2 linked regions of the Macaca mulatta genome follow. The protein of the gene in region 2 purifies or fractionates together with the protein of the main gene of each other region. This does not show direct contact. Links are inferred from orthologs where the notes say so. Each region holds a gene or a part of one and is shown on either strand. Other genes may lie near its edges. The genes, in order: PPP1CA and PPP1R18.

Region 1 (4,289 bases), on a different chromosome or scaffold from region 2:
GGTAAAAGAGACGCCACGGTCGTTCTCGCCCCAGCCCTGCACGTCCTTGTCAGGGTCAGACCACAGCAGGTCACACAGCAGGCCCTGGTCAGGCACGTCTGTGGGCCGCATGATCCGCCGAATCTGCTCCATGGACTGCAGGTCCGGGGAGAGGCCTGGAGGGCCAGAAGGAAGGTCACTTCCTCAAACAAGGACATCCTTCCTCCAGGAAGCCTTGGCCAGTGAGCCTCACCTTTTCCACCACCCTCCTGGTCCCTCCACTGGTCTCCTGGGTGCCTAGGCAGGCAGAAGCCATCCCCTTCCCCTCAGCTTTTTCAAGTTCCCAAACAGGCACAAAGGCGCCCCTGGCCTCCGGAGCACAGAGCTCCTGGGAGAAAGGAGACAAGCCCGCCCCATGTAGGATGCACATCAAGGAAGTGAGTGCAGCCCAGCACAGGGGGGTATGGGAGACACTTCCTGAAAGGAGTGACTTCCCAGATGACAACTAAGGAGAGCTCACCTCCGTGGCAGCAAAAGATCTTTTCGTCCACTATGGCCGCAATGGGCAGGCAGTTGAAGCAGTCAGTGAACGTTTTCCACAGTTTGATGTTGTAGCGTCTCTTGCCTGCCCAGAGGGAGGTAGCTGTGAGGGGTCTGCCTGCTCCACCCTTAGCCGGGGTCTCTGGGCTATTCAGCCGCAGATGGGAGAGAGTCAGGCACCAATGCAAACCACCCCCACCCCTGCCGCCTGTCAGCCTTCCAGGAGTAATTCTAGTTACTTTTTATTTTAATTTGTAATTTAAACAAACAGGATCTGGGCAGGGCATGGTGGCTCACACCTGTAATCCCAGCACTTTGGGAGGCTGAAGCAGGCAGATCACCTGAGGTCAGAAGTTCAAGACCAGCCTGACCAACATGGAGAAACCCTGTCTCTACTAAAATACAAAAAAATTAGCCAGGCGTGGTGTCGCATGCCTGTAATCCCAGCTACTCGGGAGGCTGAGGCAGGAGAATCGCTTGAACCCGGGAGATGGAGGTTGTAGTGAACTGAGATCACACCACTGCACTCCAGCCTGGGCAACAAGAGCGAAACTCCGTCTCAAAAAAGTAAAGAAACAGGGTCTTGTTCAGTCACCCAGGCTGGAGTGCAGTGGCAAGATCATAGCTCACTGTAACTTGGAGCTTCTGAGTCCAAGTGATCTTCCCGCCTCAGCCTCCCACCAGAAGTAATTCTAAAGCACCCGAGTCCACTGGAAACTGAGTTCCAATCTGGACCAGCCTCAGGGTTGGCACTCCTTGCACGCCCCGGCCCACGAGCCGGGCCAAGTACAGGTCTGGTTTATCTCAGCTTCTGGACAGCAGAGCTCATCTGCAAACATCCTAAATGCTTAGTAGCAAATGTAGAGGGAACGTCACCAGGCAGGGCCCTGGGGGAAAGCACTAGAATACGGACAGTCCTTCAGTCAGCAACCATTCCCCAGACCCCATGCCAGGAGGGGCAGGGCAGGCACAAGAACGGACCTGGGCCCTGCCTTCGTGGAGTGCACAGTCTAGCAAGTGTCTGTCAGATATCAGGCCAATGTGAAGGTCCCACTGAATGACAAGGAGTGTGGTTCAGGACCCGGGCAGCCCCAGACGCTCAGACCACTCACACTCATCGTAGAAACCGTAGATGCGGTTGATGCTGGCGCACTCGTGGTTCCCACGGAGCAGGAAGAAGTTCTCGGGGTACTTGATCTTATAGGCCAGCAGCAGGCAGATGGTCTCCAAGGACTGCTTGCCCCTGTCCACATAGTCCCCCAGAAAGAGGTAGTTGCTCTCCGGAGGGAAACCGCCATACTCAAATAGTCGCAGAAGGTCATAGTACTGGCCGTGTATATCACCTGTGACCCAGGGAATCGGGTAAGCTAGATGCAGGGTCTAGACCTGAACCCAGGACCAGGACTGGGCTCAAGGGAGGAGGACTCCAGGAACTCTGTGGGGGCCAGTGCCACTTTCAGGAAAGCAAGGGGACCTGGGTCGGGGGGCTCACCGCAGATCTTGAGGGGTGCCTCCAGCTCCAGAAGAATGGGCTGGCTCAGGAAAATCTCCCGGGATTTCAGGCACAGGCCGCGGATCTCGTTCTCTGTCAGCTGTACATTCTTGCCAGGCCGCGAGCCCTGCACTGGGGGCGCAATGGGGTGTCAAGACCCGGGACCCTGACAGGTGGAGGGTGGGCGACACGGGTGGCCCCATGGATACCTCCGGGGGCGCCTAGGCCTCCTCGGCCGCTCCTTGCCCGCAGGCAGCTGTTGCTGCTGAGCCTCCCGGGACCTCGGCCTCAAGCCTCCCAAGGGAAGCCCCCAACTACCCTCAGCGCCTCGGGAGGCGACTGTCGTGCGCAGGGGGCTGCCACCCAAACACCTCACAGCGCAGGACCCCTTCCTGGACCGGGCTTCCCGGGTTTCTCCCTCGCCTCAAGAACCCAGGCAACCCGTGCGCCCCCGGCCCGGGAGAGGGGGCTGCTCCGCGCGTCGGAGCGGGCCCAGGACCTCTCAGGCGCGTCCGCGGGGGGGCGGCTGCGGCCACCGAACCTCGCGGCCCGTCCCCGCCCAGTCTAAGCTGGCCCCGGGGGCCCGCCCGCGCGCCACTTCCGGGCCCGGCAGGGGGCCCGGGAGCGGCGGACGCAGGCCTCCCCCGCCGCGACCAACCTTCTAGCAGGCGCCCGATGATCGAGTCAAGGTTGAGCTTCTCGCTATCGGACATGGCGGCGCCGCCGCTCCAGCCCAGCAGCTCCGGGCCCGCTCCTGCCTCCCGCCCTCCGGCAGCCTCCTTCCGGCCTGGCTCTCCTTCCGCCCGCCCCAGTCCGCCCCCGGCCCGCGGCCCCGCCTCCGGGCCTCCCGGGCCCGCCCCGCCCGGTCCCCCGCGCTCTAGCGCCCCCGCTGGACGTGAAGCGCCGCGGCCTGGGGGGCGGGGCCTTGGCGGCGGGGTCTGTCGGGGGCGCGTCCAACTGGTTACGCCCCAGAGGAGGCGCCCAGCCCGGTTCAGAGGATGTGGGGCCGGAAGAACTGTGGAAGTTGTTTTTCTCTTTCAAAAGCAGAACAGCCGTTCCCACCCCTGCCCTGGGTGGAGGGTGTTGTGAATATATTAATAACCGGCTGCTAGGCACTGAGGGTTAACTGCTCGAAGTGCAGGAAAGGAAACTGAGGCTCAAGAGATATGAACAGACTGGTGCAAGACCTGGACCTCGCATTCACGTACGACCCCCTTTTTCGTGGGTCTCCGTGGCCCCCAGGCGGCTGACCACACTCAAAGACAGCTACGGCTGAACTTCCAGCGCACTTTGGTCCTTGGGGCATGATAAATTAATATTTTCTTACAAGTCCCATAATTAGCTTTTATTTATTTATTTTTTTTGAGACAGAGTTTTGCTCTGTCGCCTAAGCTGGAGTGCAGTGGCGCGACTTTGGCTCACTGCAACATTCGCTTCCCAGGTTCAAGGGGTTCTCCTGCCTCAGCCTCTGGAGTAGCTGGGATTGCAGGCGCGCGCCACTGCGCCTGGTTTTTGTGTGTTTAGCAGAGGTGGGGTTTCGCCATATTGGCCCGGCTGGTCTTGAACTCCTAACCTCAAGTGATCCACTGGCCTCGACCTCCCAAAGTCCTGGGGGGGTTACAGGCGTGAGCCAACAAGCCTGGCCCCATAATTAGCTTTTGAGTAGCACAGTAATATTGCAGGGTGTGCACGTAAAAAGAATTACTATATGAGCAGACATGGCTGGGTGCAGTGGCTCACGCCTGTAATTCCAGCGCTTTGGGAGGCTGAGGTGGGAGGATCGTTTGAGGTCAGGAGTTCAAGACCAGCCTGGCCAACATGGTGAAACCCCATCTCTCTAAAAATACAAAAAGTTAGCTGGGCATGATGGCAGCCGCCTGTAATCTCAGCTATTGGGGAGGCTGAGGCAGGAGAATCACTTGAACCTGGGAGGCGGAGGTTGCAGTGGGCCAAGGCCCATTGCACCCCCTAGCCGAGGTGACAGTGTGAGACTCTGTCTCAAAGGAGCAGACGATAAATTAACCTTAATTCTTGTTGGAACCCTGAGTTGGGTGCTTTACATGCCAGTAACCTCAGAACTGGAGGTGGGCCTGCTGTGGCGGCTTAGGCCTGTAATTCCAGCACTTTGGGAGGCTGAGGTGGGATGGTCTCTTGCGTCCAGCCTGGGCAACACGGCGAAACCTCATCTCAACAAAAAAATACAAAAATTAGCTGGGCATGGTGGTGCACGCCTGCAGTCCCAGCTACTAGGGAGGCTGAGGCAGGAGGATCTCTTGAG
Region 2 (3,656 bases):
GAGAAACAGAATTAAATAAGTATCAACAGGTACAGAGTTAAGATTTCCAGCCTTCCCTCTTGGGGAAAACTAAGGCAAAGTAATACTGAGAAAAAGTGGAGGAAGCCACACCTTCAGGTCACTCCAATGAGAAGACTGGAGGGGAGAGAGGAAAGAATTCCACGCAGACACAGCAAGTAAGCGTGGCTTGTAAACCTGGGACTTTGGCAGGTGGGGCTGGGAGCTGGTGGAATTTGTAAACCAGGCTGTGGTCAAGGAGGAGGCAGGAGCTGTAAACAAAGGGGCAGTGACCTAGGAAATGAGGGAGATGTGCCTATAAATGGAGTGGGCTCTGGGCCTCGAGAGACATGAGTGCTTAAATCCCAAGAGTCCCCACGGGATGGTGGGGAGGAAGGCTGTGGGGAGAGTGTACCCTGCCATGGAGGGCAGGTGCTCCATCTCCACCCTCCAGGGAGTTCTGTGCTCCTTCTCAGCACTTGGCGCTCACTCTTAGATCACCCAGGATGTACCAGCACGTTTAACCCCACCCACACCAGGGACTTTGGATTAGGGTAGAAATTGGGCAATTGGCTCTGCCCCCAGAAACAGGGTGGGGAAAGCAAGTTACAAGATGTTGGTTGTTGCCCTTCCCTGCCAGGCTCATTATCAGGGTCTGCTGCCCTGAATCTTCCGGGATCCAGGATCTTCAGTTATAAGAAGGAAGGAGGTATATCCCTATGTTGAAGATGGTCACCGCCGGCAGGACTCATCTGTGGGAGAGGGGGCAATAATGACAGAGAATGAGTGAGAGCCTCTGCCTTCTGCCCACCCTTCCCCCACACACAAATTGAAGGGCAGTTGGCATGCAGGAAGTCCTATAATATCTTCCACATCTAAAGCACGTTACCATCAGTAACCACATCCATCACTCATTTAGCTCGGATTTTGTGCCAAGCATCCTCATAACTGTTTAATGTCACCATAACTCCAGGAGAGATTAAGTAATTTGATATCCAGCTGTGGCTCTTGGTGCTTCACAAAAACTACTTAATCTTGGCCTGGAGCCCCTGTAATCTGAGCAATTTAGGAGGCTGAGGCGGGAGGATCACTTGAAGTCAGGAGTTCAAGACCAGCCTGGCCAACATGGGGGAACCCTGTCTCTACTAAAAATATAAAAACTAGCCAGGTGTGATGGTACACATCTGTAATCCCAGCTACTTGAGAGACTGAGGCATGAGAATCGCTTGAACTTGGGAGGCAGAGGTTGCAGTGAGCCAAGATTGTGCCACTGCACTCCAGTCTGGGCGACAGAGGGAGACGCTATCTCAAAATAAATAAATAAATTAATTAATTAAATAAAATAAATTACTTAATCTTTTCTACAACTCTAGGAGGTAGTTTTTGGTTTCTGTTTTTTTGAGACGGAATTTCACTCTGTAGCCCAGGCTGGAGTGCAGTGGCATCATTTCCGCTCACTGCAACCTCTGCTTCCCAGCTTCAAGTGATTCTCCTGCCTCAGACTCCCGAGTAGCAGGGATTGCAGGTGTCCACCTCCATGCCTAGCTAATTTTTGTATTTTTAGTAGAGATGGGTTTTCACTATGTTGGCCAGGCCGGTCTTGAACTTCTGACCTTGAGTGATCCACCTGCCTCAGCCTCCCAAAGTGCTGGAATTACAGGCGTGAGCCACCGTGTCTGGCCTGTTTGTTTCTTTCGAGACAGGGTCTTCCTCTATTGCCCAGGCTGGAGTGCAGTGGGTGGTGCAATATCGGCTCACTGCAGCCTCCAACTTCTGAGGTCAAACGATCCTCCCACCTCAGCCTCCCAAGTAGCTGGAACCACAGCTTTGCACTGCCACGCCTGGCTAATTCTTTTATTTTTATTTATTTATTTTTTTTAGAGATGGAGTCTCGCTCTGTTGTCCAGGCTGGAGTGCAGTGGGGTGATCTCGGCTCACTGCAAGCTCCGCCTCCCAGGTTCACACCATTCTCCTGCCTCAGCCTCCCAAGTAGCTGGGACTACAGGTGCCCACCACCACGCCCGGCTAATTTTTTTTTATTTTTAGTAGAGATGGAGTTTCACCGTGTTAGCCAGGATGGTCTCAGTCTCCTGACTTCATGATCCGCCCGCCTCGGCCTCTCAAAGTGCTGGGATTACAGGCGTGAGCCACCGTGCCTGGCCCACACCGGGATAATTTTTGTATTTTTTTGTAGAGACAGGATTTTGCCATGTTGCCCAGGGTGGTCTTGAACTCCTGGGCTCAAGCGATCCACCCGTCTTGGCTTCCCGAAGTGCTGGGATTACAGGCATGAGCCACAGGAGGTAGTTATTATTAACTTCATTTCATAAATAATAAACTAAAGCCAGATATCGGATGGTTTCCCTGAGATCACACAATTAAGAGACAAGCTGCAATTCCAACTCAGGCCTGTCGACCCACCCTGTGGTTTTGACCAGATTACGGTACTCAGGAAGAGTTCTCGTTTTGAAACTTGAAGACTCAATGTGTACTTCACTGCCCGGGACCTCAGTTTGCCCATCTATTGAAGGAGCAGGTTGGACCAGAGGACCACCAAGCCCCTTCCAAGCGCCTACATGCAATCCTCCCTCCTCTTCTCTCCTGGACCGCAGCGCCAGCTCTGACAGCAGGGGGCGCTCTCGAGCCGGCGGAGCCTCCGCTTACCCACAATCAGGGCCTTGGTGCGCAGCCCGCCCTGGAGCTCTGGCTGCAGCAGCAGCAGCTCTTCCTCATCCTCTTCGTCGTCGGGTTGGGCTGCTGGGGGGTTGGGGGCACTGGGGACCTCAGGCTCCGGGCCCAGCTCCTCCAGTACCGAACTCTCGGAGGGGTATTGGTACGTGGTCTCCAGGGCTGTCTCGCTGAAGGAGATCTTAAGCTGAAGGAGGGAGAAAAAGGGGGCAGGAGGCAAGGTCAGCAGGGGTGAGGCCCGTGGGGGTTGAGGGGGAGAAAGCGGGGGGGCGGGGGGGGGAGTCTGCAAGGGAGCAGGTGGGGCGGGGGAAAGGTGGGGGTGGGGGTTGGACTTAGGCGCCCCCCCTCACTCTCTCCCATCCACTCTGGGATCCAGTTTTCCTTTACACACTGGCTTTCCAATCCCAGAGTTTCCTTCTTCGATCATATAATTTCAAAACATCAGACTTTGCCCTGTAGGTTGGCAGGGGCTTGGGAGGCAGAAGTGAATAACATAAGACCAAGGTCCCTGCTCTTTCGAGTGTGGGAGGCAGAGGGGTAAAAAGAAATTAAAATACGTGGCGATTAGTCTTGTGATCAGAACCGAGTCTTTGGGCACCTTGGAGGCAATAGAGTAAACTTCCCAGAGGAGCCCAGCAGACTGGCCAGTGGGGAAAGAGTAAACTTCCCAGAGGAGCCCAGCAGACTGGCCAGTGGGGAAAGAACTGGCTGGGGAGCCAGTCTCAACCAAAACCATGGTTTTCATACCCACAGCCCCTTGCTGTCCTATGCGAAACCCAGGAGCCTGGGCACCTGTTCCCTCCCACTCCCCTCATTCCTCTCCTATCCATAGCAAAGGGGGTCTAGGGCCTGGGAAGAGATGGGAGATGAATAGAAAGGCCTAGAGGAACCAAGAGACTCCCACAACACACAGGGGAAAGATTAGCCGCTGACACCTTGAAAGGTTGGGGGAGATGACAAGGGCAGAAAGG

What was found.
Region 1: the proteins of PPP1R18 (region 2) and PPP1CA purify together in Homo sapiens (affinity purification with mass spectrometry; 5 studies listed by BioGRID and IntAct, counting the BioPlex papers as one, with this or other methods). This does not show direct contact. The link is inferred for Macaca mulatta from reciprocal best matches to the Homo sapiens genes PPP1R18 and PPP1CA.

The regions. Positions count from the first base shown.
Region 1 is NC_133419.1:6,981,882-6,986,170, reverse strand, and holds the start of PPP1CA (serine/threonine-protein phosphatase PP1-alpha catalytic subunit), read right to left. Parts: upstream 2,801-4,289; 5' UTR 2,725-2,800; coding exon 2,670-2,724; intron 2,144-2,669; coding exon 2,012-2,143; intron 1,863-2,011; coding exon 1,632-1,862; intron 605-1,631; coding exon 500-604; intron 156-499; coding exon 1-155. UniProt on the Homo sapiens protein: Protein phosphatase that associates with over 200 regulatory proteins to form highly specific holoenzymes which dephosphorylate hundreds of biological targets.
Region 2 is NC_133409.1:152,366,628-152,370,283, reverse strand, and holds the end of PPP1R18 (phostensin), read right to left. Parts: intron 2,873-3,656; coding exon 2,662-2,872; intron 750-2,661; coding exon 730-749; downstream 1-729.